Cricetulus griseus: one gene and its partner. The protein of the gene in region 1 purifies or fractionates together with the protein of each later gene. This does not show direct contact. Links are inferred from orthologs where the notes say so. Each region holds a gene or a part of one and is shown in the gene's direction. Other genes may lie near its edges.

Region 1 (3,818 bases):
GTTAAATTTTCTTAGCAAATCTGCTCACATCTCTTAGAATATGGAGAATATTTCTAGGTCATACTCTAAATAAAATTTATCTGGCCTACCTTTCCTGTGTTTGGGGTATTTTAATCTTCCTTCTCTGTTTTTGCTGTTTGCAGAGCCAGAGCCCCGAAGTGGAGCAGTTAGGGAGGGTTGTGGAACTGGACAGTGACATGGTAGATATCACTCAGGAGCCAGTTTTGGATTCTGTCTTAGAAGAGTGTGTGCCTGAGGATCAAGAGCCAGTGTCTGCTTCGACACACATTGCATCTTCGCTGGGAATTAATCCACATGTCTTACAGGTGAAGTTTTGGCTCATCCTTACTGTGGTAGAAAATCAAACTAACATTCAATTTTTTATATAATATCATAGGTCTTCTTTAATTATTTACTTAAGACCATTGAGAGTTCACTATAATGAAAAAGGAAATAGGCCCATGTCCTAGGCCTCTTTTTCCTAGTATATTGAGGATGATAAGGTGGTTTCTGTTTTTACTGCATAAAATCAAAAGATTTGTTTTCTTAGCCAAGTATTGTAACTTTACTGTCCTGACTTTAGGCAACAAATTAAACAACTGCCAGCACTAAATTCTATTAAATATCATTTTGTTGCTGGACAGTGACTTTTAATCCCAGCACTCAGAGGCAGTGGCAGGCGGATCTCTGTGAGTTCCAGACCAGCCTGGTGTACAAGAGCAAGTTCAAGAACAGCCTCCAAAGCCATAGAGAAACCCTCTCTCAAACCACCCCCCCCCAAAAAAAAAATCACTTTGTCTACTTGACAAGAGTAGTGTTGAGGTTTCAAACTTAGAAAAAATTTTTAAAAGATTTTTATTTATTATATATACAACATTCTGCTTCCATGTATATCTGCACACCAGAAGAGGGCACCAGATCTCATAACAGATGGTTGTGAGCCACCATGTGGTTGCTGGAAATTGAACTAAGAACCCCTGGAATAGCAGACAGTGCTCTTAACCTCTGAGCCATCTCTCCAGCCCCAAACTTAGAAATTTTAAGAACATGGTAAACACATGTTGAATTGCTCTCTTCCTGTAGCTGCAGCATTTTTGTATGAGTTTAACCTTTGACTATGTTTGACTTTTAAATCATTAATTCAGCAAATAACAGCAACCACTGGTGGAACACAGTGAATACAAAGAAGAGAACTTCGTGACTTCAGTCCTTCGGGTACATGCAGTATAGTGGTGTGCTACAGGTCACAAAAATGTTATACTTGCTCTTGTTACAGACTTTAGAAGAAATGGTACTTTTTAAGCTCATCTAAACTGCAATTTTCTTTTGTGGTCTTCCATTTGTGGGAAATAGTCATTCTATAGATACTGCCTTTTTTAGATCATGAAAGCATCATTGCTTGTGGATGAGGAAGATGGAGATGCCATGGATCAACACTTCAGTCACTTCCCCTCCAAAGGAGATACTGTTCAAGAAATCTGTTCTCCTAGACGCCCTATTTCAGCCTCCCACTCATCAAAATCCCGTTCAATCGGTACAGTATAAAATGTGCTGTTTTCACACAAAAAAAACTGTTGTAAGGTCATACTTTTCACATCTTCTAAGCTAAAAGGATTTCTCTAGCCTAACCCCTTATGATTTCAGTCAGCCTGAGATTTGTAGCACGATGTGATCTTTAAAACATACTAGATGTTTGTACTGGCTATAAACTTAACTTTTAAAAATGCTTAAAACTGGGCAGGAGAGATGGCTCAGCGTAAGAGCACTGACTGCTCTTCCAAGAGGTCCTGAGTTCAATTCCCAGCAAACACATGGTGGCTCACAACCATCTGCTATGAGATCTGTTGCCCTCTTCTGGTGTGCAGATATACATGGAAGCAGAACGTTGTATACATAATAAATAAATAAATCTTAAAAAAAATGCTTAAAACTCTGCATTATATGGCATGCCTTTAATTTTAGCACTTAAGAAACTAGGAAAGGAGGATTTTGCATTCAGGATAAGTCTGGCTCCTTAGCAAGACCTCACCTCAAAAAGAAATAAAAATTATTTTATGTATGTGAATGTTTTTCCTGCATGTATGTCTGTATCATTTGTGTTCCTGCTTCCCTCAGGCACTGAGGAGGGTGCGTATCAGATCATCCAAAATTGGGGCTAAAGACTTATAAGCTGTCGAGTGGGTGATGGGAAGCCAAGTCCTCTAGAAGAGCAACTATGTTCTTAACTTCTGAGCCATTTCTCCATCCCAAGAAAAAAAATAACTTTACCTTATTATAGCATTGCTTAGTAACACTTTCTCAGATCTAGTACTGAACATTAAAGTATAGTAACTTCAGTTTTTATCTATGTGAGATTGTTTTGGTTTTTTTTTTTATTTGTTTTCTGTTTGTTTGCTTTTGTTGTTGGGTTTTTTAGGATTTTTTGTTTGTTTGTTTGTTTGTTTGTTTGTTTTTTGAGACATGGTTTCTCTGTATCCCTGACTGTCCTGGAACTCTCTGTAGACCAGGCTCACTCCCAACTCACAGAGATTTAACTGTCTCTGCCTTCAGAGTGATGGGATTAAAGGTGTGCACCAGCATCATCTGGCTATTTTGTTTTTTAATTATACATAAGGCTATGTTTGTGTAAGGATTTAATGTCCTTCAGATTTATGTGTGTTTTTTGCTTGTTCTTGGTTTCGAGACAGGGTTTCTTTGTATTGCTTTGAAGCCTGTCCTCACACTTAGTTTGTAAACCAGGCTGGCCTCTAACTCACAGAGATCCGCCTGCCTCTGCCTCCCGAGTGCTGGGATTAAAGGCGTGCACCACCAACCGCCCATCGAGAACTTGTAATGCTTTTGCAGTTTGATTCCCAGCACCCACATCAGGCATCCCACAAATACCTGTAACTTTCATTCCAGAGGGATTGGACGCGTGGCATCCACAGGCAACTACAGTCATGTTGATACACCTACACGTGTACACATAATTTAAAATGAAACCTTTTTTTTTTTTTTTAATTATTGTTGCTGGGCTGGAGAGAGGACTGCACTTGGAGAGGCCCTGAGTTCAATTCCCAGCAACCACGAGGTGGCTCACAGCTATCTGTAATGAAATCTGGTGCCCTCTTCTGGTGTGCAGGCATACATGCAGACATAACATGTGTACACAATAAATAAACAATATAAGTATATTGTTTTATATATATTTATATATAAATAAACAATATATATATATATGTTTTATATATATATAAAAGTATTGTTGCTGGGCAGTGGTGGTGCACACCTTTAATTTCAGGGCTTGAAAGGCAGAGGTAAGTGAATCTCTGTGAGTTCAAGACCAGCCTGGTCTACAGAGTGAGTGCCAGTACAGGCTCCACAGTTACACAGAGAAACCCTGTCTCAAAAAAACAAACAATTATTATTATTATTATAAGCCATACAGCTTACAGCGATGGCACACTCTAATCCTTGCACTAGTGAGGCAGAGGAAATGGGATCTGAGTTCAAGGACATCTTGATCTACATATTGATCTATATAGATCAATATAGCCAGTGCTATATTGTAGCCAGGTGTGGTGGTGAGACCAGCCTGGTCTACCTAGTGAGTTCTAGGACATAAGCTACATAGTGACTGTGTCTCAAGAAATCAAAAACAAAAGTAATTATTGTAAAATCGGAATATCTTCACCCTTAGTGGTTTTTATTGCTATGGAAGAAATAAGCTGTTGTTTTAGAGTCTTTTTCTCCTTGTTTCAGTTGGTGGGTTGCTGCAATCAAAATTTGTAAGTGGAGCTTTTCTTTCACCAAATGCCTCCATGCAAGAATGTCGAACT
Region 2 (4,616 bases), on another chromosome or scaffold:
GTAGACCAGGCTGGCCTTGAACTGACAGAGATCTACCTGCTTTTATCTCCTGAGTGCTGGGATTAAACTTGTGCCACCATGCCTGGGCATGTACCAATGGAGCTACAATGTAGGTTCTGGGAACTGAACCCAGGCTCTCTGTGAGAGCAAGTGCTGCTAGTGGTTGAGCAATCTCTCCAGCCCTAAGGTTTAAAAAACATTTTCTATGTGCAGTGAAGTTCATCTAAGTGCTCACGGCTGGTACAAGATATTTCCTCCTGAATTTTTAAGAAAAAATTTTATACTTAGATTTTTCTCTGACAGGTCTAGAGAGCTAATTCAGCAGTTAAAAGGATTTGCTGATCTTTCAGAGGGCTAGTGTTGGCTTCTCACCTCCTGCATGGGTTTTGTGAGCTCACACCTGCCTCTATTTCCAGCTCCTGAATGTCCAGAGCCTCTTCAGGCACCTGTCTTCACATGCACATATACACATGCAGACAGTTACATATAGATAACTTAAAATAAAGTAAAAATAAAGTTATTTTAAGGGCTGAGAAGATAGCTCAGCAGTTAAAAGCACATGTTGCTCTTCCAGAGGACCTGAGTTCATTTCCCAGCACCCACATGGCAGTTCACAACCTTCTGTAACTCCAGTTCCAGGGACTCCACCAGGCATGAACACATGCAATAGACACAAACATACAGGCAAACAAAATATTCACACACACAATTTAAAAATTTCAAAAATTAAATATTTTTAAAGATTTATCAAAAGAATAATAAATGCAATTGTTTTCCTACCTCTAAATCTGTCATGAATTTTTTTTGGGGGAGTTGGAGGTAGATAGTGCATAAAAACATATTCGCTAATAAAATTAAATATAGCCGGGCGGTGGTGGCGAGCGCCTTTAGTCCCAGCACTCAGGAGGTAGAGGCAGGTGGATGGATCTCTGTGAGTTCGAGATCAGCCTGGTCTACAAGAGCTAGTTCCAGGACAGCCTCCAAAGCCACAAAGAAACACAGTCTCAAAAAAAAATTAAAGTAAATATACATTTGTGAAAGTATAAAATCCAATGTGAAGCTCCACAGCTTCTGAATGGCTGAGCTAAATGTATGGAAGTTCATTGGATTGTATAGTCTTTGGGTCAGGTTAATTTTGGTGTGTGATGATTTTTTTTATTTACAACGTATTTTAAATTTATTTTATTTTTTTATTTACAACGTTTTAATAATAAAGTTTTTATAATGAACAAAAAACCCTAAATATTAAAAAAAAAACTTCTCACATTACACGACCATTGCACAAATAATATATTGTCAGTGTTCCTAGATTGATTTCGCCTTAGGAGTGTGTCTTTTTTGTTGAAGGTTTTAGGGGCTGGATCTTTGTTCATAACTACTTTCAAGAGTGCGGTATCACAACCTCCTTCAGTTTAGGGGCTGGCGCGTCCTCCTGATGTCGAGAATTGGCTGTCTGCAGCCACCGTCTTTCCCGTGGGGTCTCATCCAATCAGAACCGCGCAGGAAGGGGCGGGCCTGAGGAGCGCGCAGTGTGCTTTCTGCTGAAGCTTCTTCTAGATTTCAGCATGGAGGAAATTTATGCTAAGTTCGTGTCTCAGAAAATTAGCAAGACCCGCTGGCGGCCAGTGCCTTCTGGGAGCCTGCAGACCGCAGAGACCTTCGCTACGGGCTCTTGGGACAATGAGGTACCCGGCCCCGGGCGGGTCCCCGGCTGCTCTGCTCCACGCCCCTCGCGCCAGCGCGCGAAAGCAGCTTATGGCTTGCGGGTCTCCTGCTTGGCTGCCCTACCTCAGAGCCCTGGTGGTGTATTTGAGCCTCGGATCTGGTTTTAAACCTTCACCAAGTTTGTAGACATACCGTCCGAAACGGGCCACATCTCTGATCGTTTCAGATCTTAACATACCGTTTGTCTGAGATGCTTTTGGAGCAAGGACGCCCGAAAGGCAGTCTGAATTAGTTGACGTTTTCGTCACCCCAAGATAAAACTTTCTGCTTTGCAGGAAAACTGCGTTTCACTGTGGTCTATTGGAGATTTTGGGAATTTGGATTCTGACGGAGGGTTTGAAGGAGACCATCAATTACTGTGCGATATCAGACATCATGGTGATGTCATGGATTTACAGGTAAATCTGAGTTGTCCCCCAAAGCTAAACTTGGAAATCTGATCATACATTTAGCACCGTATAGTTCGTCTACTGTCATTCCTGGTTTACAGGACACTAATCTCTGAATTGTAATTTACTACATCGTTGTTTAGGCACTTAGTGACAGAAGTGGGGTTGGGAAAGTGAATTTGTGTCAATCAGTTTGAAAATTAATTGTCCAAGCCGGCATGTGGGTGCAAGCCTCTAATTCCAGCCCATGGCAGGCAGAGGCAGGAGGGATCACAAGGCCAGACTGAGCCACATTTTGAGACCTTATCTCAAAAAACAAACAAAATTTGCCCATCTACTTGCCAAATGCTGTTTGGTGAGTGTTATACAGGTATGTTAATTTGCATTGCATGTCTGTGAGTCAGGGTTTATCATGTGTTGTGATGGGGATGCTCTCAGGATCTCACATGTGCTAGGGAAGTGCTCTCTACCTTTGAGTGTATGTATCCCAGCCGTCAAGTTCTGTTCACCACTTTACTAATCAGACAGATGAGACTGGTATCTTTTGAACATATAGAAAATATTGTGCAGGACTGCTCTTCTATGGTTTCTTTAACAACTTAGTAGAAATTAGATGAGCTTGGGCATCAGAGAGTCTCCCTCATAAAAAAAAAATCTGTATCAATTCAGATGCAGTGCATTTTACTCAGTAAAAAGCTGCCTACTCTTACGATTGACACATTTCAAGACTTTTATCATTGCAGCCCCAAATCAAAATGTAGAGTAAAACTTTAAACTTACTATTTATCCTTCATGAAAATACTCATAGTTTATATAAAAATTTCTTAAACATTTTAACACATTTAACATATTTTATTTGTTTCAGCTGCTTGCTTCTTTAAATCCTTACAAGGTTTGCTATTAGTCAAGGTGAAGTAATGGACTTTTTTCTCCTTAATATTTCCAAATCTATAATAATAAGCAGAATTTTTCTATTTAGTTTTTTGATCAGGAAAGAATCGTAGCTGCTTCGTCAACAGGATGTGTAACAGTGTTTCTTCATCATCCAAATAACCAGGTAAAGAACCTTCACAGGGAAAGTGAACTTTTATTTTAATTATTTATGAGAAGACTTACAGAAGATTGTGTGTAATGAGTTCACAGTGTTTTACAGTGTTTAAACATGAAGCGAGTCAATCATGGGCATTCTCTTGGAGCTCCTACATTTGCAGAGGTTGAAAAAAAAGAATTGTTTGATCACAGTAGCTGAAGACTAGATTGGGCAACACAGCACAATCCTAGCTTAAAGAGGAGTCATGATAGGAGAGGATACTGTCCACTTTTTAGAGGTTGATGAGGGTCAAAACATGCATTTTTGCACTGAGCTTCACCCCCAGCCCCATATTACTTTTTGATAAAGTCTACATCATGCTTACATACGTGTCTTCGGAAATTGGACATCCTTTAAATAAACTATTTATTAGCTCTAGCAGTAACATCTGCTGGTGGTAATTTCCCTACAGTGTTTTGTCAGCTCCTTTCATAGTCTTTTAGAGTTGAAAGGAGAAAGCCAGCACCCAGGCTTGAATGCATGCTCAGCTTCTATCTCAAATATCAAAAGGAGGGCAGAACAGCTGTTTTATTTTTAATGGGTAGAAGCCAGGTTTTCAGAAAACCCATGACTTAAAGACCTTTCTCTTGGGGCGGGTGAGGTGGCTCGAGAGTGTGTACTGCTCTTGGAGAGAACCCTGGTTCCATTCCTAGCACCCACACCAGGTACCTCACAATAGCTTATAAAGCTTATTACTCCAACTCTAGAGGATCTAATATGCTCGTCTAGCCTGAGTAGGCACCGGCACAGGTGTGATGCACATAAACTCAGGCAGGCAGGCACACACACATACTCATAACTTTGTTTTTTTGCGACAGGATCTCATTATTGTAGACCTGGCTGGTCTGGAACTCACTATGTCAATCAGGCTGGCATTAAACTAAGAAATCCCCCTGCCTCTGCTTCTTGAGTGCTGGGATCAAAGGTATGTGCCACCATGCCCATCTGTAATTCATTTTCTTAATGGAATCATGTAGAAAAAGATGTAGAGGTTAGTCCCTTATGTATTAGTTTATTCCCCTAACATTCAGCTACTTGGTAACAAAAATTAGTAGTTTGAAATAAATGTGGTGAGTCTAATTAGAATGTACAAAAATTTGATGGAAGTAGTTTCTAAACATCAGTATGCTCAAATACAAAGAAAAGGGGAGAATTGTTCTCCTACAAGGACATAAGATATAATAAGATATAATCTTATAATCTTAAAAATACTGTTATTGGGCAGACTTGGTGGCTCACTTATAATCCCAAACACTTGGAAGTCCTGTCTCAAAAAAAAAAAAAAAAAAAAAAAAAATTCTGGGAAGAAGGGCTCATTCTTCAGAACTTTGCTCTGATTGATAACATGCTCATTTCTGATGCCTAGACTCTGTCAGTCAATCAGCAGTGGCCAGCAGCTCACCACCATACAG

Evidence for each region.
Region 2: the proteins of Nup98 (region 1) and Nup43 purify together in Homo sapiens (affinity purification with mass spectrometry; 4 studies listed by BioGRID and IntAct, counting the BioPlex papers as one, with this or other methods). This does not show direct contact. The link is inferred for Cricetulus griseus from reciprocal best matches to the Homo sapiens genes NUP98 and NUP43.

The regions. Positions count from the first base shown.
Region 1 is NC_048596.1:97,236,377-97,240,194, forward strand, and holds part of Nup98 (nuclear pore complex protein Nup98-Nup96), read left to right. Parts: intron 1-143; coding exon 144-326; intron 327-1,380; coding exon 1,381-1,534; intron 1,535-3,741; coding exon 3,742-3,818. UniProt on the Homo sapiens protein: Plays a role in the nuclear pore complex (NPC) assembly and/or maintenance. NUP98 and NUP96 are involved in the bidirectional transport across the NPC. May anchor NUP153 and TPR to the NPC.
Region 2 is NC_048595.1:280,415,584-280,420,199, reverse strand, and holds the start of Nup43 (nucleoporin Nup43), read left to right. Parts: upstream 1-1,498; 5' UTR 1,499-1,565; coding exon 1,566-1,685; intron 1,686-2,000; coding exon 2,001-2,123; intron 2,124-3,093; coding exon 3,094-3,171; intron 3,172-4,570; coding exon 4,571-4,616. UniProt on the Homo sapiens protein: Component of the Nup107-160 subcomplex of the nuclear pore complex (NPC). The Nup107-160 subcomplex is required for the assembly of a functional NPC.